3 linked regions of the Alligator mississippiensis genome follow. The protein of the gene in region 1 purifies or fractionates together with the protein of each later gene. This does not show direct contact. Links are inferred from orthologs where the notes say so. Each region holds a gene or a part of one and is shown on either strand. Other genes may lie near its edges. The genes, in order: PAGR1, PAXIP1 and NCOA6.

What was found.
Region 2: the proteins of PAGR1 (region 1) and PAXIP1 purify together in Homo sapiens (affinity purification with mass spectrometry; 6 studies listed by BioGRID and IntAct, with this or other methods). This does not show direct contact. The link is inferred for Alligator mississippiensis from reciprocal best matches to the Homo sapiens genes PAGR1 and PAXIP1.
Region 3: the proteins of PAGR1 (region 1) and NCOA6 purify together in Homo sapiens (affinity purification with mass spectrometry; 3 studies listed by BioGRID and IntAct, with this or other methods). This does not show direct contact. The link is inferred for Alligator mississippiensis from reciprocal best matches to the Homo sapiens genes PAGR1 and NCOA6.

What each region holds. Positions count from the first base shown.
Region 1 is NC_081830.1:293,202-300,711, reverse strand, and holds PAGR1 (PAXIP1-associated glutamate-rich protein 1), read right to left. Parts: upstream 2,844-7,510; 5' UTR 2,683-2,843; intron 2,675-2,682; exon of another isoform or gene 2,332-2,674; intron 1,921-2,331; 5' UTR 1,915-1,920; coding exon 1,541-1,914; intron 1,378-1,540; coding exon 1,295-1,377; intron 1,206-1,294; coding exon 1,021-1,205; 3' UTR 515-1,020; downstream 1-514. Other genes in the region: HIRIP3 (HIRA-interacting protein 3), read left to right, coding at 64-200; SEZ6L2 (seizure 6-like protein 2), read right to left, coding at 4,256-4,285, 4,388-4,490, 4,867-4,984, 5,080-5,118, 5,314-5,505, 5,584-5,775, 5,864-6,058, 6,133-6,329 and 4 more. UniProt on the Homo sapiens protein: Its association with the histone methyltransferase MLL2/MLL3 complex is suggesting a role in epigenetic transcriptional activation. However, in association with PAXIP1/PTIP is proposed to function at least in part independently of the MLL2/MLL3 complex.
Region 2 is NC_081828.1:204,856,442-204,864,515, reverse strand, and holds the start of PAXIP1 (PAX-interacting protein 1), read right to left. Parts: upstream 3,021-8,074; 5' UTR 2,978-3,020; coding exon 2,885-2,977; intron 2,513-2,884; exon of another isoform or gene 1,591-2,512; coding exon of another isoform or gene 1,576-1,590; intron 1-1,575.
Region 3 is NC_081832.1:23,726,034-23,733,985, reverse strand, and holds the start of NCOA6 (nuclear receptor coactivator 6), read right to left. Parts: upstream 3,092-7,952; 5' UTR 2,983-3,091; intron 1-2,982. UniProt on the Homo sapiens protein: Nuclear receptor coactivator that directly binds nuclear receptors and stimulates the transcriptional activities in a hormone-dependent fashion. Coactivates expression in an agonist- and AF2-dependent manner.

The sequences.
Region 1 (7,510 bases):
GCAGGGGGTGGGGGCTGGATGCCTGGGTTCCCCGGTGCTCTGACCTCTGCCCTCCCTGCGCAGGCCGCCCACGCCGCCGCAATGTATGGAGCTTGTACGCGGCGCCCAGCACCCCGCCAGCGCCCAGCCCCCCCCGCACCCGCCCCGACTGGTCCCAGCTCCGCGGCATCATCAGCAGCGACGAGGACGACAGCGAGTGATGGGGCGGGGTTTGGCCAGGCCCCACCCCTTCCCCTTGTTGGTTCTATCCTCTCTCCACCCCCTTTTTGTACATTTCCAAATAAAGCATGTTTTGTTACTGCCGCTGCCCCAATTTCTCCTTCCTTTTAGGGAGCTGCACCTTTAAGAGCTGCTTCTAACCAAATAGGCTTTTATTCTAGAATCATCCCTTTAAGAACCTGGGAAAAATCCCTGTAAGGAGTTTAAAGCGGCAGGCATGCCTCCAGCTGGAGAAGGGGATGGGCAAATTTAAGAGAAAGGGGATTAGAATCATCATTCTCCTGCTTTTTAGTCATTGGCTCTTAAAGAGATTTTATTTAAGTGGCCCAGAAACATAAAAATATTTGTTTTAATTTGTAAAGGGGAGGGCGAGTGTTTGGGGAGAGGAAATGTAATGTCTTCTTCCAAAATGGGGAGGTGCCTGGATTAAATAACCTCCTGGCTGCATTAGACACCCCCCCCCAAGCTGTGAGTAGGGATGAGCATCCAGGCAATGGGAGGGGGCAGCAGACACTTTATTGGGGCTTCCCTGGGTGGTCAGGCTCATAGCCAGGCTCTTAGCCAGGATGGGAGTGGCCCCTGTACCATAATCAAGCAACTTCAACCCCCGCCCCAACCTCTCCTCGGGCTCCCATGAGCTGGGCCAGCTGTCCGTCACTCCAGGAGCTGGTCCCACTTCATCCCCCCAGCCGTTGGTCCCTGCTACCATTGGCTGGGCCAGGTGTTCATTGCTCCTCTCACCTGTCACTTTATCACACCCGGCCTTTGAGGTTCCTGCAGCGGCAGGGCCCTGCAAAGGGGTCAGTACTTGCGCTGGCGCAGGAAGAGTCCAGACGGGCGCTTGGGCATGGGCTCATCACCGCTGTCCAGCTGGAAGAGGTCGCGCCCGGTGCGCAGGATCTGCTCCTCCAGCTGCTTGTGGCGCTGCATGTCTGACAGCACCTTATCCAGCCGCGCCTCCCGCTTCTGGCTGCGTGACCCTGCGCCTGCGGCAAGTGCATGTGTCAGCCCTAGGGTCGCCTGCACACCCCTGCCCCTGCCAGGCCTGGCTGCCAGGGTCCCCCCATGGGCTTACCTGGTGCTCTGCGACGGTCGATGAGGGTGCTCTTGGGTGAGGCAGGCTCGTCGTCAAAGTCAAACTCAGTCGGGATGTGGGGCCTGGGGGCAGAGAGGTTGTCACTGGAGGGGTGGCAGGAATGGGGGAACCCCCAGAGCCCCATGGGACCCCTCAGCCCTGCCCTTCAGCCCCCCAAAGCCCCTTGGCCTCCAGCGGTGCCCCTCGCTCCCGACCCGCATCCCTTCACTCAGGCCAAGTGCTCACTTCTCCTCCTCCTCTTCCTCACTGGCCGGGGGCCCATCTGAGCGCTCGTCCTCCTCGCTGTCGGGCTCGGGCGTGGGGGCGCGGCGGGGCAGGCTCTCGGCCTGCAGCTCCAGGCTGCCCTGCGCCGCGATGAGCTCGTACAGGCGCCGGATCTCAGTAGGTGGTGGCATCCAGGCCTCGGGGGCCTCCACCTCCTCGTCACTGCAGCCCACGCACCAGTCTTCCTCCCCGCCTGCCGCCGTGTCTTCCTCCTGCCCCTGCGGCTCCTCCTCTGCCCCGGCCGGCACCTCCTCGGGGCCTGCAGGATCCTCCACGGCCAGCAGCTGCATCCCCGAGGTCACTTCCCCTTCTTCCTCCGTCACCACGGACTCCATGGCTGCCTGCAGGGGGAGGGGGGCTTCAGGTCAACGGGGCAGCCATCTTGGAACACGATGGCAGGTTGCGCCACCTTGAGGCAGCCCGGGCAGTGACCCAAAAGAGGTCACGCCGACACGGCGGCCACCTTGGGGACCTAGACCAGGCTGGGCGGTCAGCAAAGATGAGCCAGGCCACACGGCAGCCATGTCACGCGGGCACGCAAGGGCCAGCGGTGACCCCGGCTGTCATGCCAAAGCAGTGGCTGTCTTGGGGAGATAGGCCAGGCTGGGCACTGCCCGCAGCAGGTCATGCCATGGCAGCAGCCATCTTGCAGGGCTAGGCCAGGTCTGGCATTGAGCGCAGTGGGTCACGCCAACATGGCGGCTGTCCTGGAGATGTGCACAAGCCGCCAGCTGGGCCCCAGCCTGACTGACCCCGGGGGCAGCTCCAGGTCCGTGCTCAGGCTGCAGCAGGCGAAGGCAGAGCAGAAGGAATCGGAATCGCAATCAGGCCTAGGCCCCAGGCTGACTGGTCGCCATTTTGACGCCTTTTGCCCCCTCCAGCCGTCCCGGCGCCTCTGCGCATGCGTTCCCGCTCGGATCACTAGGCTGCGCATGCGCTCGCCACTAGAGCGCGGCCGTGGCTCATCAGTGCGCATGCGCGACAAGGCGAGCCCTGAAGCCCCTCTGGCACCGGCGGCCCCGAGGCGCATGCGCAGAAGCCTTCGTCCCGTTTCCAGAGCGCGTGCGCTCTGCTTTGCCGCAACAGCTCTTTGAAGAACGTACGCGCCGGCGCCTCGCTTCCACTGCGCAGCCACAGCCCTTGCATATCACCTCCCTCCTGGGATGGAGCTACGCATGCGCACTTTGTCAATTTCCTCCCCCCTTCCCGCTCCATGAACCAGCACGCATACGCATAACCATGTCCGCAGCTTTTCACTGCGCATGCGCCCGACGGCAGGCCCCCCCCGTTCGTTGTGCTGGAGGGGCGGGGCTACAAGGCGAAGGCAAGGGGCATGGTAAATGGGGGCGGAGCTTGGTGCGTGCATAAAGGGGTGGGGCTTAGGCGTGGCCACCCCAACTGGGCAGGGAGCAACGAGGGTGGGGCCTCGCAGGTCTAAAGCGGATGGAGCTAAGAGGCGGGGTCTAGGGGGGAGGGGCAAAGGGGGCGGGGCCTAACGGTACGTTGTCGAAGGCGGCGCCTAGTGGGGAGGGTCTAAGGGGCAGGCCCTAGCAGGGGCGTGGCCTACTGGGGGAAGGGGCAAAGGGGCGGAGCCCAGAGTGGTGCTGGAGTGTTGGGCGGGGCTTCCCTTCATGACCCGGAGGGGCGGTGCCTCCTTAGGCTCCGCCCTCTCCCCCAGGCAGAGGCGGAGCCGTGGGCTTGTACAAAGGCGATTCCCTCGTTTATTGTTATTGCTCCAACGGGCCGGAAGTGGGGCTAGGACACCCCCCCGGGGAGGCGGGGCCTGTGGGACACCTCTCCCCCCCTTTCCCCCTTCTGGGGGTATCCGTCCGAAGAATGGCACAGGAATATTTGCCCTCCTACACTCCATTTCTTAAAGGTAATGGCACTCTTAAAGGAATAGCTGTGATCTTAAAGGGATGAGGGCTCCTCCCTTCACCACAGTTCCCCTTACCAAGCCCTTAAAGGCCTGCTTTAGTATCCCCCAGATTACTTAGAGCCATCCCTCCCCCATCTGTTGCTTTAAATCTTAAAGGGATGTTCCAAACTAAAAGCCCCCCCTTGCACTCAAGCCAAGCAATGGACCTTAAAGGGATGCTCTGGGGAGTAAATCCCCTCCCATTTTTATTTAAAATTCCTTAAAGGGATTCCCTTCCCAAAAGCCTATGCTCTTCGAGGACTCGGAATAAACATCCTCCTGCATGATTTTTATAGCCTGGAAGCATTTTTTTTAACCCCCCTTAAAGGGGCATGCTCTAACACAATTTCCCTCCTGCCCTTGTTTTAGGCCCTTAAAGGGGACAGTGAACTAACTGCTGGGGGGCCCCGTTCCTCAACCTGCCACAAATAAATTAATAAATACAGAAATAAATAGGACGCTTGATATAAATTAACCGGGCGGTGGGGAGGAGTGAGGACCTTGGTCATGACGGTAATGAAGCTGGGGGGGGAACGGGGTGCGTGAGCCTTGGCACATGGAATCCTGGGTATTTACAGGGTGGGGCTGGGGGGGCCGCAAGGCATGCTGGGATGGCTCGGGAGCCAGGTGGCGGACCCCCCCCTTGTGGAAATGGGGCCATGGCATCCTGGGTCCAGTCCTGGCCCAGCCCCGGCCTGTGTTTTGGGGGAGGGGAGCAGGAGGGGCCTCATGGCCCCCCCCACCCCCACCCGGCGCCTTCAGATGGAGACTTCGTACTCCCTGGTGTCCTGTGGGGCAGGAAAACCCCCATCAGTCGGGAGCCCCAGCCCCCCACCCCCTCTCGGGGGGCTGGGGGAGCCCAGGCATCCAGGGGTGGGGGGCACACTCACGCCAGCCTCGTAGAGCGGGTTGTTGAAGTCAGACTCGACGGTGATGGGGCTGTAGCTGTGCGAGCTGGAAAACGAGAACCCAAACAGCGACTTGCCCTGGAACCTGGGGGGGGCCATGAGATGGGTGGGGGAGGGGAGGGGAGGGGCGGGGCTTACCCCACCCCCCTTCCAGCCCCTCGCCCATTCCCCACCCTGCTGCAGGCAGGGATGCCGTCCCTTTAAGAAGGAACAGCCTGGGTTCTCCATTTAACCACCTTCAAGGACAAGACAGCATCCCTTTAAGAAACACCCCCTCACCAGGAAATCCCCCCTTTAATGCTCACCTCCCTACGCACCTCCCTTTAAGACCCAGCTCATAGAGGTGGAATCTGGGTACCCCTTTAAGAACCCCCCAAGCCCTGCCCCCAAGCCCTAGGTCCCACCCAGTGGCCTGAAAGCCCCGCCCCCTGCACCATGCCCCAGCCCCGCCCAGCCTGTACCTGGTGTAGTAGACGTAGATGGCGCCAAGGAGCAGCAGGACGAGGGCCACGGGCAGGAAGACAGCGAGTGCCAGGCCCCCGCCCCCCATGTGGCGGGAGGGGTCTGTCGTCTGGGTGACTGCCAATCAGAGACCGGGAGCCTCTTAGGCTGCTCCTGGACCCCCTGCAGCTCCCCGCCCCCTGCCCTGCCCTGCCCCGCCCCGCCCCGCTCACCTTCCAGCTTGCGCTCATCCAGCAGCTCCTCGTAGGCCACTGAGGGAGAGACAGGGGTGAAGGGCACTGGGGGGTGCAGGTTGGGAGTGGGGGGCAGCACCAGGGGCTGTGGAGATCCTGGGGGGGCTGGGGGTTCTGGCCGCTGGTTTGGGCTTGTGGGGTCTGGGGGGGACGGACGCTGTCCTTGCAGTGAGGGGGAAGGCCAGGCAGTGGGGGAGGGGTGGGGGGTCATACCCTTGCAGCGCGGCGGGGGCCCGGTCCAGGCACTGGGCCGCCCGGGCAGGCAGGTGATGGTGACGTGTCCGAGCAGCTCGTAGCCCTCGTAGCAGAAGAAGCGCAGCGACTCGCCCGCCTGGTAGTGGTGCTTATAGAGCGTCTGGTAGCCGTGCGCCGGCACACCCGGGTTGAGGCAGGGCTCGTACTGCACTGCGGGGGGCGGGCGCTCAGCACCGGGTCCCCGCCCCCTGTCCCGTGACCGCCCCCCACCCCACCCCTTGCACTCACAGACACACTTGGGGACACGGTCGCTCCACTTGGGCGCGCCGGTGTCGCGCGCGTGGCAGGTCAGCGTGGCAGCGCCCTCCAGCGCGTACCCATCGTTGCAGCGGAACCGCACCTGCGCGCCCAGCGGGAAGCGCCCGTCCGAGGCACTGCGCCTCCCGTGTGCCACCTCGCCGGGGTCCACGCAGTTCACCACTGCGCCGGGGGGGCACGGGTCAGGGCAGGGCAGGGCAGGGCCCCCCCTGCCTGCACCCCCCACACCATCCCCCCCAACCCGGCTTACCGCGGCGGCAGGCGGGGGGGGGGCCGCTCCAGGCCAGGTCCCACTGGCAGGTGAGCACGTCGGCGCCCACCAGAGCGTAGCCGGGCTGGCACTGGAAGGTGAGCACGGTGCCGCGGATCAGGGCGCCATGCGAGGCCGAGCGCCAGCCTCCTGGCACGGCCGGCAGCTCGGGGCATGTGTCGTTGCGGTCCACCTCTGCGCAGGAGGGAGATGGGTCAAGGGCCCGCGGCACGCCAGGCGCCCCCGGCCCCCCGCCCCCCGAGCTGTACCGGCGTAGCGCAGCAGGAAACCCTGGCTGGGGCTCGGCGGGGGCCCGGTGGGGTCGGCCTGCAGCTGCACAGTGGCCGCGGCCCCGGACGACGTGAGCTGGAAGCGGGGCCGGGAGCCCAGGAACTGTCCCAGCACCCGCCCCGCCAGCCCAGCCCCGTCCAGCACCGTCAGCGTGTCCCGCCCCCGCAGGTTCAGGCTGCCGGGAGGGGTGGGGGGGAAACACAAAGGGAGAGAAGAAACAGACACTGGTGAGCGAGGGGGGCTAGACCCTGTGGCCCCCCACACCCAGGGTCGGATCCCAGCCAGAAACTGGTGGTAGTGGTGGGATCCCAAGGGAGGGGCTGGGGAACAAGGCAGTCAGGGGCCATCACTTGGGGGGAGGGGGGGGCCCAGTTTTTTAGGGTGGTCCCCAAAGAACGGGGGGGGGCGGGATGGGAAAGGGGCAAGGGGGATCCTGTTTTCTTGGTGGAATTCCAGAAAATAGTGGGGGGGGGGTCAGATGCCCCCTTGCAGGGGAGCGGGGGGGGGGGGGGAGCAAGGGAGGGGTCCCTGGCAGGGTTGTGGCACCTACATCTCCATGTCCAGCAGCACCCGCTTCTCCTCCTGCACGTGGATGGTCCAGACACAGTCCTGGCCCGGCCCGTAACTCTGCGGCCAGTCGGGGGAGAGCACCACGCCGGCCGGCTCCGACAGCTCCCCCCCGCACAGCGCTGGCGGCACACGGCCCGTGAGGGCAGCGCCGCCAGGGGGCAGCGGGTTGGGAGGGAGGGGCAGCGTGGGGGCTGGGCACAAGGAGCACGGGGCCGTACCTTTGCAAAGGGGCTCGGAGCCGTTCCAGCGAGGCGGCGCCCCCTGGCACTGGATGGTGCGGGGGCCGGGTGCCAGGGCGTAGCCGGGGGCGCAGGCGAAGGTGACGAGGGCGCCGGGCCCGAAGCTGGGGTCGGTGCTGCTGAAGTTGCCGTGGGGCAGGAAGGGCTCGTAGCACCGGTCGGCGGAGAAGGCTGCGGGGTGGCGGGGGTCAGCGGCACGGTGGTGCCCCAGGCCCTGCTCCGCACGGGGGTTGCGGGGACTCACCCTCGTAGCGCAGCGCCAGCAGCGGGGGGGCGCGGGCGCCATCGGACACCAGGCTGAGCTGGAGGTGGGGGCCGTCGCTCTGCAGCCCGCGCTCGGGCACGTCGTCCACGTCCGAGTCGAAGAGCACAGGGGCCTGGGCCGCCACGCCGCCGCGCACCACCAGCCTGCGGTGGGCAGAGGTCAGAGGTCAGGTGCCCCACCCCGCCTCCCCCACCCGGCACCCGCTCACCGGTCGGCGTCCTCGTCCAGCGCCAGGCGCTCGAAGTGCAGGTGCAGACGCTGCCCCGGCGCCGCCTCCAGCTC
Region 2 (8,074 bases), on another chromosome or scaffold:
TGAAGACGAAGAGCCAGGGGAACTGGGAATATTTTTCTCAAGGTCTGGTTCTTTTCAAGTACAGCAGTTTGTAGGGTGCCCTCATAGTAGTTTGATGATCGTTCTTATAGGTTCAAATGTGGGATGGTAGGTGACAACCAAGAGTGTGTGGTCAAAGGGGGGTTTTCTTGTACTAGGCAGGGGTGCTCAACCCCAATCCCTGGAATGGTATCATCTGGCCCACAGGGCTCCTCAAGAGTCCAGAAATTTGGGGAAAGGGAACAGTGACAACATTAATTGCTACTCTCTCACTGCCACATTAGCAGCCCTGCGGGCAGCTGGATCTACTGTGCAGGCCAGCAGGTGCCAAGTCAGGCATGTGGCCAGACTGAGAGACAGGGGCAGGCAGCTAGATCAGGGCAGCATGTGGCCGGCTCAACCCTGCATAGGATCTGGCCCACAGCTAGATCAGGGCAGCGGGCAGCCAGACCGACCCCACATGAATGAGTCCTGCACCACTCACCCAGCCTGCAGGGCCAGAAGGTTGGGCACTGCGGTAGTATACCTAGACTCACTTACTGACTTTCACCACAGGTTTAACAATTACCACTCTTCAATCAAATTCTCTCCAGAATACGATTATATTAAGATTAACTTTTTAGACACCATGAAATAGATCCAGAAGAACATTCTACAAACTGCTGTAAACAGAAAACTCACAAATTACCACACTTAAAATCAGCAATTTCCCCAAACACAGCAAAAAGTGAAGAGGTAAAATAAGGCCTCGCTCTGGATCTGCTCTGAAGAGAGTACTCGCAATACCCAACTAGCCAAAATTAAATCCTCCCCACTGAGCCACTGATTCAAAGTTTTGCTAGAGGTCTCCCACATTTCATAGCATTGCAAAACTTTCCCTACTTCAAAATCCTTAATCAACCTTAATCCTTAATCAACCATGGCAGGTACTCAAATAAAAACAGAACAGAAAATCATGCACAAGCCAAAAAAGGAAAAAAGATTGGTTATTATTATACAAATTGCTAAATCTGCAAAGGGGTTGAATGTAAGAAAAACTGGCCATCCAAATTCCACTTGATCAGGGCAGGGTTGAGTGCCAGGCCACTGCTTGCAACCAAGCCACTGTCACAACCTGTCAATCGCCACCATAGATCCCCCTTGGCAATAGCCTCACACCTGCTCCTACCTCCACCGTGAGCCACCACCTCTGCCAAGTGCCACTGATTCCTGTCCCTAACAGCAACGGGGAGGGGCAAATTCAGCAGCACTGCCTGTTGCATAGAGCAAGACAAGGGGGCAGGGAAGACTAGAGGGGATGTACGGCCCAGGGCAAAAAATGGGGATGCACCCGGGCAAGCCATTCACCACAGACCCCCTGGTGCCACCACAGGCCAGATCAAAACTTCACAGGCTGGACCCAATCACCCTGCGGGCCCAGGGGACACAGGTTGCCAGCTCCTGCCTTAGACAGCTTTTGCCCATAAGTGGAACATGTAGGTATGTTACATGTAGGATACGTAGGCTTACATATGTAGGTGGAATAGAGAAACAGACTTATAATAAGCTATGACTTACAATGAAATTATGCATTAAAAGTCCTGAAATATTTCCACATGCTGCAACACGGAAATAGCAATTCTGATGAATTCTGAACTTCAAGTTTAAGGGCTTGCTTTCACAGGAAAGCTCATAGGACCACAGAGTTGAAAGGTCCCTTCACAGATGCCTAGTCCACTCCTCTGCATGATGGCAGTCCTGTCTCATATGCTGATGGCGGACCTAGGTCCACTAGGAACAACAAGCCCCGCTAAGTGGCTAAACAGAGACCGCTAAATGCACAACTAACTCCACGGGACACTATTCTCGACCCATCCCCGTCAAGTACTTATCCAGCCTCTTCCTGAAAACCTCCAATGAAGGAGATGCTCAAACTTCCCTGGGCCGCTTGTGCCATCGCCCTGCAGTTTTCTGAGATGTAATACTGATATAAGGCAGGGAGTGAATTTCGAGTACGACTGTCACCCCCTGCCTAACTCCTATCTGCACGTCCCATCACGGTACAAGAAAACCTATTACAACACGACTCGCAGCGCTTCCAAACGTTTGGAAGCACGAGCTGCGGAGAGGAAAACAAAAACGAAACCCCCGCTCATTGCGAAGGCAGGGTCTACACGGGGCAGCGTTATCCTGGCGTTAATTATATAGGGGTACAGCTGGAAAACTCCCCCAAGGGTGCAGGCAGTAGCCATGCGGGTCTAAGGACAGAGGCAGACAAGGTTAACAGGGTGTATCGACTGAAGTTGGTCTCATAAAAGAGATCCGATTCACCCAAAAAAACCCTGTCCGCCAGGCAGACCACGCATTTGTTGTTCTCGTGGTCACAAACCAGCCTGAAATCTCACGAACTTCAAGAGCCCGCGAAACCCCGGACACCTGCGAAAGAAAACAGCGGGAAGAAAGTTGAACGCGGCCGAAACCCCGGAGCGAGCAACAAGCGCTCGCAGACCCTCCTGCCGGCCCGGGCCTGGCACCACACGTCCCGCCCGCCCGCCCGCCCGCCTCAGGTACCCCCAGCCCGAGGCCCGGCTTCACTCTGGCCGCCAAGGAGGAGAGCGGCGCGGGGACAGAAAGGGGCCGCCCTGGCTGGGCCCAGCTCCTGGCCGGGCCCGGTGCGCGCCGGGGCACTGCGGCTCCCGGGAGGGACAGGTCCCTGGGGGGACACAACCGCTCCAGCCCCCCAGCACGGCCGGGCGGGCGGGGCAGGGCGGGGCGGGCCGCGCCGTGACGTCACCGCCCAGAGGGGTGGGGGAGGGGCCCGTCACTGGGGCGGGGGGGAGGGGTGGAAGAGCCCACGCGGCCCCTGGACGGGGTGGGGGGGTGGTACCTGGGGGTCGATGTCTCCCACCGCGAAGAACTTGACGTCTTTGAACATGTCCTCGGGCACACGGAGTTCCTCCTCGCCCGCCGTCGCCGCCATGGCCCCGGCCCGGCCCCGGGGCTGCGTTGCCGGCCCCTCCCCCTCCCCGCGCAGCCCCGCCCCCACCCAGACCGCGGGAGCCCGGCGCGCGCTGCGGAGCGAACCATTCACCGCCGGGCCGCGGGGGGGAGGGAGCTGCCGCCAGGACCAGCCGCCACGCGTCCAACCCCCGCAGCCCCGGCCTCCTCCTCGGCCCTACCCCCCGGCTGCACTCGCCGGGCTCCGCCGTCCCTCCTCAGCCCGGGAGGCGGCTGAGCCCTCAACCCCCCCCCCGCCCCGTGGCCCAGATGGACTCTCCCCGCTCGGCGGCGGCAGCTCTGGGCCCGCCCATGGGGAGGGGGCGGGGCGTCGGTCGGGCCTCGCCCCCCAGCCCCGCCCCTTCCCGCGCAATCTCAGGCGCCTCCTTGCGGAGCGCGCGGCCACGTGCCGGAGCCGCGTCCCCACCTTTGTTGTTCGGGACCCTCCCGCGGCCCCGGCCCTGGCCCCGGCGCGGCACGTGCGGGTTGCTTTTTTTGGCTAATTTGGAAACAAAAAAACAACGACAAAAAGTCAATGTCAATAGCCGGTCCCCATCCAGCGCCCGGCACTGCCGACCCACGCCCCGCCGCAGTGTGTGGGGCAGGGGGTGGGCGTGTGGGACCCCCAGCAGCCCCTTGCAGGCTGGGGCTCAGAGAGAAAAGCCACATTTTTTTCTCCTAAAAAAAATGGACTCTCCTTTAAGTTTGTTCACGATGTCGTCCTAGGTTCTTGCGGCCCACTTTCGGGTGGTGACACACGGGTTGAGAAACGCCACTCCAGGAGCATGGCTGCTGATACCCCTCCAGGCTCCCGAGATGATGAGCACGTTCCACGTCCGTCGAGGACGGGGGTTGGCGATGGCTCGGTTGCCGGCAGGGTCCAGCGGCGGCAGTGACTCTGCAGGCAGGATCCCACGCACGTGGGCAGGAGCTTGGGCCCACTTTCCGACGGTCCCCTGCAAACCAGGGGGAAGTGGACCCCCGACCGCACCCCTCTCCCCAAGGGGTCCCGTGTCAGCCCTGGCGTTAGCTGCTGAATTAGTGTGCCTTAACCGTGTTACTCCACGGGCCTCTCGGCTCCTGGCAGGCCAGAATAGATCATACCAACGCTGATCTTCGTATGAGGAACTACATTGTAAAAGCACGGGGGTGAGAGCCAGATCCAACCGAAGATGTAGATGCCTGCGTATCTAGCTGCAAAGGGTCTTGCCCCCAGTCAGGTGCCTGGGGTTACGGTGCCTGGTATGGGCAGCGAGGTGGCGCGTTGCAGGGTGCTGGCCAGTAGAAAACGCCAAGCAGAGAGATGCGTCCGCAGAGCCGAGGCACCCAAGTCCGAGCTGTGAATACCAGCGTTGTAATAAGCTGCCACTGAGCAAGCGTTATGAATGGGGACCTGTCGAAGTCGTGATTTCACAGATTCTGCAAATTCTGGCTTTGCCCATGAAATCCATGGGGAAGAAAAAGAATTACTTAAAATAAAATGCTGGCTGCCCACAGGGAGCCAGCAGTCCCCAGGGTGCTGCAGCCTGGGGAGGAGGCGGCAGTAGGGGGCTGGCCACTTGAAGGGCTACAGGCAAGATGGCTGTGAGGGCTGCTACCCTGTTCCTCCAGTTGGTGATGAGGGGCTGGGCTGCATGATGGATGGCCCTTGCAGCCAATCAGTAGGGAGGGGTGAGGCCCTCAGCCAAGCAGAGGTGCGGAGTGGCCCACAAAATAGCTTCTGGACCCCATATTCTGCCTGGGAAATTGACGGGCAGCCACCCTGAATTTGGTAGATCCATAATTATTGAGGACAAACGATGGTTTGCTGAGAGATGCAATGCAAATGCCTTCAGCTGCCAAAAACAAAGAACCTATCAGTGCATGGACAGCTATGGCTTTTGCTATTTGGATACAATCCCAATACTCATGATCAGCATCCTGAAAATCCTCGCCTGAGGGCTGGACCCCATAATTGTTCTTTCAACGAACTGAGTTGGACTTACTGCTTTCTTTTTAAAGAACTGGCACAAAGGGGTGCTAGAGAAAAGAAAGACATGCAACTCATGACCTTTTGTGTAACTGCCTGCTGATGACAGCATTTGCCTAGGACTGCGGTTCCCAACCTTGGGCTTGCAACCCATTTGAGGTTACAATGATAAAAAATAGTGCCACAAAGACACTCAAAACTGTTGACTGATTATGATGAAAATCACAGAAAGAAATGGGAAATGGCAGGCTCGCTTTGCAGGCTGGCAGAGGTACAGCCTGCCCAGGGCTGCTTGGGGCTGGGAGAGCCGGAGGAGAGCGATCAGGCAGTGGTGCCACGTGCATGTGCATGCATACAGATGCATGGGCAGCCAGGCAATGTGGAGAGCAGCTCCTTCCAAGTAAGTCTATGGGAGGGGAGGGCAGATTGAGTCCCCCACGGGGTGGAAGGGAGGGAGCAGGATGAAGCTGGGGCTGGGGAAACTGCCCAGCTGGGCAGGTGCATGGGACCCAGGGCTGGGGTTGGAATATGGGGCCTGACTGGGAGAGCAGGATGGAGTCATGGGCGGCTCGTCCAGGGGGCAGCAGGGGGGCTGGCTCCCAGCTATTGCACATGCTCCCGGAGGAGCATGTGCCCCCCAGATTTTTGCATGGGGTGGGGGCAGATGCAGGTGTCATGACCCAAAGGTCTGATTTTTTTTGTGTGTGCTTCGGCACTCGAATTATCCCCGTGGGTTTACAGCTTCATTGCACGGTGGAGTTCTGCTGCGCAGAGAACCCGCGTGCAAGGAAGAGAGTTCCCGCCACTTTGCAGCGGTCTTTGCAGGGTGCATTTTCTTTGCAACACAGAAATGCATGGTGCAAAGAGTTCCCGCTCGTTGTATGCAAATTTGTGCCCCGCAATTGGCTAGTGCTAAATTATTCACACGTGGCAGCTAGCGATTGGCCTGCTAGCCTTATAAGAGGCTTGAGCAGTTTCCACCCAAACCGAAGAGGACTCCGCATCCATCTCGTGGGGACTCTGGGTGTGTGCGGCAGGGTAACAGAAACTCTGTGTGTTGCCCAGAGGAGTTTGGCGGCCTGATCCACCGCCCACCTCTTCCCGTCTTCGAACGGAGCCTACTATAAGATGTATCGACGAGTTTAATGCGCGCTTGTCCTGGACATCCGGAGTTTGTCTGCGTGGAGCCTAGCAACCTCCACGTGATTGTTCGTGTTTTGTCTGCGTGGAGCCTAGCAAACTCCACGTGTGTTCGTGTTTTCTGTTGTAACCGCAACTCAAGCAAGTTCTCAGCCTGCACCGCGACCGTCTCGGTGTAAGTAAACAATCTTAAAATCAACCGTTACGTGTCTGTGCCTAATTCTAACTTGGCGCCCGCCCTCTCCGACCCGGCCTGCCCGGGCTGCCAGCCACAGCCCGCGTGCAGAGCGACGAAAAGGGCCTGGGGTCTGACCCGGCCTGCACAGCAGGCTTCCTGCTGCAGGCTCAAGGCTCCCCACCATGCTGCCCTCTCCCAGGGTCTCCACGGCCCAGCAGGTAAGATCCAACACAGGAGGGCAAAGCAGGGCAGGGAGGCTCAGTGCCACTACCAGGAGCCCCACACTGGATAAGCTGCCATGGAGAGGCACCCCCTGCCAACCCAGCACAACTCCACACTGCTGCTGCTGGGAATGCAGGGGCACCTTGCCGTGGCAGTGCAACTGGTGTGGGGCTCCCGGCAGTGTCACTGGCCTCCCCACCCTCTGCCTTCCTGTGCCGGGTTCCACCAGCTGGGCCATGGAGGCCCCTGAGGGGAGGGCATCAGGGCAGGGAGCCCTGAACCTGCAGCAGGCAGCCCACATCCTTTCCCCCCACCCCCATGGGCTCCACTCCAGCCATGCCATCCACGGTGAGAGGGCACGTTGATCTTGTCTGCATCATTTTGGGGTTGTGAAAATTTTCCAGTGTTTACATGGGGTCATGCTAAGGGAAAGGTTGGGAAGCACTGGCCTAGGAAGTGAGAGATCTGGATTCTAGGCTTTCCTCATCCCACCAGGTTTCAAACCCATTTTTCTCATCTCCCAGGATTCACCTCCCAACCTGTTAAAGCTGGCCCACTGGGCAGCTTTAACAGAAATGAAATGTCTAAATGTTTAACAAGAAATGAAAGTGTCATGGGGCCTCTCCCCAGCATAAAAAAGGTCTGAGTAGTTAAGATACTTACCTAGGAAGGGAAAGTCTTAGATTTTAATTTCTGTTCCTAGGAGTATTTCTGTTTTTTATCCAATGACTGTTTAATGTAAAACTGATGCAGGTGCCCCAGCAAAACCCCAAAATCAAAAGCCAAAGATATTGTGCTACATGCATTTCCCACCACTCACTAGCGTCTTGCTTTACAGATTTGGATTTCTATTAGAATCTCAACAATTTACGCATCCTGGCTCTTTTTTTCTGTGCTGGCTATTCAAATTGAGTCCACTTTGGCTCACGCTGCCCACCATGTTTTTGCTATACAGCCAGATTTTACGTTTACTTAAAGTTTACAGTAATAAAAAAGGAAATACAACAAAATAGCAAAGCTCTACAGAGTTTTTTTAATAGTACTCCACCACTTTTTACTTTGATGGCTCACCACTTACTGGAATTGCAAGTTGTTAGGATCAAACGTGCGATGTCCAGTTTGATTCTAACAGGCAGCAGACACTGTACTGCGTGACCTGCAGGCCTCGATTCAGCAAAGCACTGAAATCTTGCTCAACTCCTTTTGGCTTCAATGAAACATGATGAGTATGTTTAAAATTAAAACATGTAAAAATGACTGAATTGGGACCTCAGGTTCCTTATCTATAATATGTGGATAGTAATTTCCAATTCACAGCGGTATTATGACAGTTAATTATTATAAGCTAGTTTTTGGTACCCTGGCATATTATTACTTCAAAATCACTTCACTCCGAGTAGTTTCACTGAAGGAAACTATGTGCAACTAAAGTACTGCTTAGCATAAATTATGGGAAGCAGAATCTGGTTGCTACTGTTTTCATTAGGTGCGTTGGATAAAAGTTCTAAGTATTATTACTTTATTGTAAAATTTCATTAAACTGTTGAATTAAATGAACAATAATTGCAGAA
Region 3 (7,952 bases), on another chromosome or scaffold:
CACTGCACCTCCACAGCTATCTTCTGTACCACAGCCTCAGGCTTACAATAGTCTAGTATTTTATAAGTGTATCTCCAACTTCCTTTCCCCTCCCCAACCAGCTGTTATTAAACAACCTTATGTTTGCCCACAATATAATGGGACAAGAAACATTTCAGTATTGTGTTGTTGTCCCAAGTTCTATTTATGAACATTGATACCTATTCACAAAGAGCGTTGTCTCCACAATCATAAATTTGCCTTTAAATCACAGAAGTATGAAAGATGACAGCATCTTGTCCACAGCATCTCGGAGATAAATTAATGACCTGTAAAATATCCTCCTACAATCAAGTGACAGTGCTATACAGATGCTTTAACCCTTTGACATCCTCAAGAATAAAGTTATCTGCCACTGCAGACACTGTAAAGCAAAATACCTATGCAACTTAGCTGGATTCAAGCCACTAATTGAAATACATTAGATGTTAAGATAACCACTAATATAGACTTTAAAAAGTCTATAGAAATGAACTGATAACATTTACTGGATTTAAAATATTTAAACACCCATAGCCGAGTTATATGGGGCTGTGGTCATAATTATCTTACAGACCTCATACAAAGTAGTGTTAAGGGTATTCACTGAAATGTATCTCTGCAGGTCCATACTCTCTAGTGTTTAAGCTATTAAAAGTTTAAACAGTTTACAAAGTTACAAAGTTTACAAAGCCTGGATTTCCAAAATTTCAAGGGAGTTTACTAGATGCACAGTATTTCTAGGCTAAAATATTTCATTGCACTTAACATGAAACTGCCTTAACAGCAAGCTCCTTAACAAGCAACTTCTTCATTTAAGATCTAGAGACAGGCTTTTACGGATAGTGTTGACCACAGGAACTCCAGTTTGTGGACATCTATATTAAAAAGAAGAATTGAAACCTAAGGTAGGGAGGGATTTCGTAACTGTATCACCTGGAGAAGTGACAAACATACTTCAGAAAAACAGCAGGTCTACAAACAGGAGCCAGTTAGGGTGAGGGGCCTTTATAATGAGAATTAGGAGCCCAGTACCACCACACAAAATGTCATGATAAAGCCAAAAGCAATCAGGGCTTGTAGTAGAGATAACATCTTTTATTAGACCAACAAGATCTTGCAAAAAAAATTCTTTAAATTGCAAGCTTTTGGGCACAAACACCCTTCATCAGGCATTGGAGAAAAGATTGTAAAAGTTCTCCTGGGTAGAAACAAAAGTTCTTATTTCACAGGATTTCACAGAGGAGTCAATAAATGGAAAATTCCTCTGGGCAGGCAGATACCTGACACATGATAAAGCCAAGATAGTCTAAGCTAAGTTTTAAATGAAGAATTGTGATCCAATGAATAGGGTGGTAAATTAGAAGGCAAAGAGACACCCTCCCCCCCCCCCCCCCACACACACACACAGTTCAAAAGTGACCACTAACTTTGGGTGCGTGACTGGACACATCTATTGTCCAATTTTCTAAAGGTCTTGATGTACACAACTCTGCATGGAGCCTCTAAATTCAGTGAGTGCATGCACAGAATCAAATTAAGCAAAGATGACATTTAATGTTACTCCTCTGCTTTGTCTCTATTTAAATCCCCCCCAAAATGCACCACTTCAATTAGGTTGTATATACATATCAGTGTAACTGAAATGTAAAGACAAAATATTTTATTTTAACCTTGTAGGTATAAGAAAGACTACACTTGCTATAACTGTAAATATAACAGGTGTCAGCATCTGATTAAGTGAATCTGAGGCTCAATGCTTGCGTGCACTCACTCTCTCATACTGCACGTGTGGGCAAGTGAGTAGGCATGAGACAGATATTGACAAGTATTTGCAACCTAATTAAAGTGGTGCACGTTGGGGGGGATTTAAAGAGAAACAAAGCAGAAGACTAAAATTAAATGTCATCTCTGCTTGATTCCCACCAAAATTCTTGTACATATCTTAGCTCGCTCTCAAAGCCTGCCTCTGGAGAGCCAGTGGAGAAGTCCGATACCCAACTCAGCTCAAGCACAACCATCCCAGATGGCTCTACTGTCAACTAAAGGGAACTTCCCCCAGAAGGCTAGAAAGGGTTTGTTACCTGGCTCCTTTCCAAAGGGGCTGTGGAGGATTCAAATATAAGTCACTGACTGAATGTAGGGGCCAGTTTTGCCTGCACTTGTTCAAGGTTGAGAAACAGGGGAAACAAACCCAACAGGGGCCCAGGCAGAATAAAAAGCCCTGCACTAGACAAGCAAGTCTCCATGCTGATACTGCACTGATGTCCCCGCGGCTTTGGGAGGAAGCCAACCTGTCCCCCCACTCACCCCCACCCCCAAAGTAAAACCTCGGCCTTCGTTAGCCCTTTCCGGATCAGGCCGCTGCTTCCCCTCCGCGGGCTCGGGCCTGCCGTGCAGTGCAGGACAGGACAGGACGGGCCGGGGCAGGCGGGGGCCTGGCGCGCGGACCGAGCGGCGGGGTCAGCGCAGCTCAAGGGCAGGGGTCCGGGGCGGGCGTAGCCGGCCCAGCCCGAGCACTGGCGGCCGCAGTGCGCGGCAGCGCTGCATGGGGCCGCGGCCGAGCGGAGCCGAGCCGAGCCGGCCGGGGGAGGAGCCGCGCGGGGGGCGGGCTCGCTGCGACCAGGCCGGCTCCAGACAACAGGAGCCGGCGGCTCGGCCGGACCGTGACAGCGCGGGGCCTGCGGACAACGCGGCTCCGCCCGCGCCGGGGCCCTGCTTTGTGCTGCGGCCGGGGGGGCCAGACCCGCCCCGCCCCGCCCCGCGGGCCCGGCCCGCACCGCCAGGCCGCTCCCTCACACCCGCCGCCCCGCTTCCGCTTCCCTGTCACAGCCGCCCCGGCCCGGCCTGACGGGCTGCACGGAGGGGCCCGGCCCGGCCTCTGACCTCAGGCCCGGCCCGGCCCGGCCCGGCCCGGCTCAGCCCCTCCCCGCCCTGCCCTGCCCTGCCCTGCCCTGCCCTGACCTTGGGGCGCCGCCGCGGGCCCGCTCCGCGCGGCTGCCGCGAGCCGAGGCCCGTGTTGGGCCCCGCTCCGCCGGGCCGCGCCGGGCCGGGGTCGGTTCGGTGCCTGCCCAGCGCCCAGGACGCGCCCGCAGCCGCCGCGGCTCCGCCCTCGGCACCACGTGACGGGCCGGGACACGCCACCGCCGCGCCTGCCGCCCAGCGCGCCCGGGGAGGCCGCTCGCCCGAGCCCCGCCCCGCCCCGCCCGCGGCCCCGGGGACGGGCCTGCCGGCCTGCCGCGCGCGGCGCCCCGACTGTGCGGGCGGCTCCCCGCCACCGGCCTCGTACGGCCCCGCGCACATCCCCGGCCTTCCAGCGTGGAGCTCGAGAACAGCGACCCCGCGCACGCACCCTCCCTTGTCAGGCGGGGAAGCTCAGGGGCTGAAGTCCTCCTGCCCCCCAGCGCACCTGCAGTGAAACCCGAGGCCTTGCGCCCAGGAACCAGGCTCGAGTCATGCCCCACGGCTGCTGAACCTTCGTGGCCCCCAGCACAACGTCTTATTAATCCATGACTGGTGTGTCTCTGTGACACCACAGGCTAAACTGTTCCCCCACCTTTGGACCAGTCGCTCTACACCCCCAATCCAGACCGCTGAAGCTTGCCTAGCTTCTGGTGATTTGTGTTGCTATTTCTATCCAGCTCTGCAATCCAAAGTCACTGCCTGGATAAAGCTGTAGAAGGAAAATGGGGCCTTTGTAGAAAAATAGTAGGTGGCACAGCTTGATACCTACAGCACTTTCAAAGCTAGAGTCTCAATCTGCTTTATAAATATCAGTAAATTATTCCTTTATCACATCTCTGTCTTACAGCAGGGTAACCTGAGGCAGTCAGACATAGTGGAGTGGAGGGGTTTTAACTGTGCACATACGCACAGTTAATTAGTAAGGCTCCAGTCTTACAAGATGTTTTGTGCAGGCAGGTTATTGCACCTGTCTGAAATAGCATGGAAGTCCACCTGAAAATGGCTTAAAAGATGAGCAGCCATAGGATTTTACATGCTGGTCCTATAAAGTTGTTAAAACGAGCAATGCTAAGGTAACACAGGAAATCTGTGGCACTGGGAACAGCAGTTCAGTCTTCTGTTTGCCAGTCCTTTAATCACAAGGCCATCTTTCCGTGGTGGTAGTGAAAATAAATATATTGTAGTTATACATTAAGACTACTGAAATAATCAAAGTTCTAAATATTGTATTTGGAAAAAAACAAAGGCCTCAGCCCTGCAAACATGCACAAGCTTAGGTCTAGTCACATAAATAACCTTCCTAACTTCAAGGATGCTTTATGTGGCCAGTCTTCTGGAACAAAGTTCAGCAGGGTAAATCTTAGATAACAGGTCTAGGAAAGCAGTGAAACTGGCTTTCTGCAACTTACTGCACAAAGTAAATAACAAATAAATCTAATAATTACCAGACAGTCTGATCATTTGTATATAGATGTGAAAAAAATACACCACTTATCAACCAATGTCAACTTTAATTAAATTGCTATATACATATACTGTATGTAAAATCCTTTTTAGGGAAGGCCTTTGTACATAGATAGCTAGAGCCTAAGTCCCAACTCCAATTACAAAACTGCTGCCATGTGATCCCAACAGTTTAGACTAGGAAATTTTAGAAGGAATGATTTCACATAGGGTATGTATGGAGATTATTCGACTATTAGACAACCAAAACTCAAAGATATATTTATAGACTAAATCAACACCCTTTCTTTAGGTATGTTCTTCATGGAACTGCAGTCTTGGTGCCTTTCATTGGAGTTTGTATATATTCAGTTATGCCTTTAGTTCCTGTTTCTTTCTTCCTCGTCCTCTAGGATGATGATCATTTTAAGTGCAAGCCTTTGCCTTTAAGCCTGTTGAAGAATGAAGAAAGCCTTCTCTTCACTGCTACTTTCCATGCACAGTCCCTCTGACATCTCAGCAGAAGTGAGGTAGAGTGTCACTTACACACTGAGACAAGGAGGAGAGCTTTAGTCCTCTTTAATTTTTGAACCAGTGAGCACTTGTTTGCGTGAAATCTTTTTTGTAAGAAATGCAGTTCCCTGTGCTCTAGTTTATTTCATTTCCTACCTGTCCAGATAGTTTAAATATTAATTGAATTAAATACTGTGAAAATCCGGCAAAACTGAAATTTAAACAACATGTATTAGGGTCTGAGGATAATTCTTCTACCACACCTATTATTATGCCTTCTTCCATGCTGCCCCTACCACTTCCCAATCAATGCACTTACATCCCTTTCTCTTCACATTCTAACCCCTAAAAGCCTGACTTACGCCACCTAGCCCATAAAGTCATCCCACCTTGGAAGGCTGTCCCCCACAACAGTGGTTTAGAAATTAAATGCCTTATATCAGAATAACTCTAAAAATACTGCCTTCTCTGTGTTTTCTACTGTGTTCTGTCATCCTTGTGTCTTAGTTGAAATCTTTTTGAAGCTCAACATTTGTTTTGATCAGCACAAAGGCTTATAAGTATACCTTATATTTCAGCTGGAGATCTTAACCAAAGGAATGATACTTAGCAGGACCTTACTAGATACATTTGCTTTAATCATGTGGGTGCTTTAACTTCATGAGAGGGTCTGAAAGCCTTCCATATATAGACAAGTCAGCTCTGTGTCTGATGGTAGGTGGAATGATAAGCTCCAATTTGTGACATGTTGAGAAGGGAGGTACTCACCAGTACTTACAACTGAAGGGACATCAGAGTTGAAAAGGCTGATACAATTAGGAAATCTCTAATACTGGAGGACTTTTAGAGGGCATCTCCAGTTGGCAAATCAAGTATTATCTCTGGCTGCCAGTATCTGTCTGATGACCTGGCGGGTAGCAGGGAGAAGGGTTGAGATCAATATTTGCAGCCAGTGAACCAAATGTGGTTCAGCAGCACCAGCTGTCATATAGAGCTGGAATCCGCAGCATTGTAGGAGACTAAAAGACATATTCTAGTATAGTGTAATGGAGGGAAGAAATATTGTGAAGAGCAGAAAAGGGACCTTCAGTCACTTCACGCATGACAACCCTCTGTTCCTGGCCTAAATGTGCCCAGACAGGCCACCTCTACAGTGGCTTGGGTATTGTGGACAGATGCACACGTAGCACTAATGCTTGTGAGACCGCAGTGAAAGGCTCCTCAAAATAGTTCAACAAGGTTGGTGTGGACAAATAGAACCGCTTGTCCTGGACCAGCTATATTTAACATGGTAAAGTACAAACAGCTCGTTTATGTCTGTAAACCTATCAAATGAGGATTACCTCAGCAAAAGCAGCAAGTGGATGTTGCTGTTCTTTCCTCCAATAGCAGAATTTCAGTGTTCCAATTTGAGTCAAATGGATGCTAAATACAAAGAAATGCAAAAATGGCCTAAAGCTCCTTCACTGAGCAGTTTGGATCAATGCTTTCAGTGAAGTTTCTTCTGCTTCACCCAAGGTGTACATGAGATCACATTCAGACTCAACACTTTTCAGAACATCTCCAGTAATATGTAGCTTGTGTGGGAAGGGGAAATCAGGAATAGTCCTAGAAAAGGTTTTTTCACCTATTTATAAGAAAAGAATAAACATGTTTTTGAAAAAAATTAAGAACACTCTCTTCAGTAAGGTATTTTCTGCTGATCAACTTTTTGTACAATGAAAACAAGTGTACAACAGATATAAAAGTTATGAGAGGCTGAGAAATGCACATACATTAACCTTTCCAACAAACTTGTTTGGTTTAATTGAGCAACAAAATGAGAATTTAAATTTCATCTGAACTGGGGGTGTTTGGGTCGGAGGCTTCCTTGAAGGCCCATTTTATAAAGTGTGCTTAAGTATAAAATGTGCTTAAATATAAAGTCTTTAAGACAGGAATTGTCTCATACAGCCTGTACCTACAGCTCAGGTACAACTAGGTTCTGGTCTTGTTTTGGACTTCTAGAAACTACTGTAATATGAATAATGTTTAACAAGACAATGGAGTCTGTCAAAAAAAAAAATACTGTAAAGAATGAAACTGGTACCTCACAAGCTGGTAATAGAAAAAAGAAAACTGTATTTCAGTCTTTTTCACTTTATGTGAAAAAATGCACAGCTACAATTGATTTCAAGACAGTCACAGTTATGATTACAATGCATTTTCTTATGTCTGTATTTCCAAATAAAAATGATGCTATATAGCAAATGTGGTACTTTTATGCTCATACACATGACCAATTTTAGATTTTCCAAAATTAAATATTATATAAGGATTCCATTATCAGAACTTAATTTCTCCCTGCCCCTCTTAAAATGAACTAAGTGATTCCTAATCTAGAATCTCTACATGTTCACTTTATCATATGTGGGGAAGGAAATGGGGAAGACATATTTTGTTGAGATTTTAATGATCTTTCCTTATAATCCTCTCATACTTTTTTCTAGGATAAAAGAAGGAATGTGGTAAGGAAGGAGAGAACAAGAGTTTGGATACCAGAATGGTAGGTAAGGTTTAAATTACACATATAGTGATTGTCCTTCTACAGTTTTCTTTTAGCTGGGGGAATGTGATCCCTTCTTAGGGGAGGTGTATGCTGTGCTGAGGGATTGTCGCTAGTTCAATATTTTCTTCAAGTTAACTTGAAGAACTACTGCCCTCAATAAGCTATTGCCTTCAGGAACTTTTTCCCTCCAAAGTAGGTTCACCCTTGAGAGGATCATCTCCTTTTCACAAGCTGTGAACACTGGATGGCTCTTCTTTGGCCATCTTATTGTTGGAGAACTATTGAAACCATCTCATCTGTTCCATATACAGACTTACTTTCTTTTCTGAAGGACCATTAAATATGGCTGACCCTTCTGAAAATTGTCCTTCCTTGCCAGGATTCTCTTTTTTTTTCTAGCTTATAACTTTCAAAAGCACTTGGCTGAAGTATGGAAGAACTTTCTTATAAAGCAAACATTTACCCA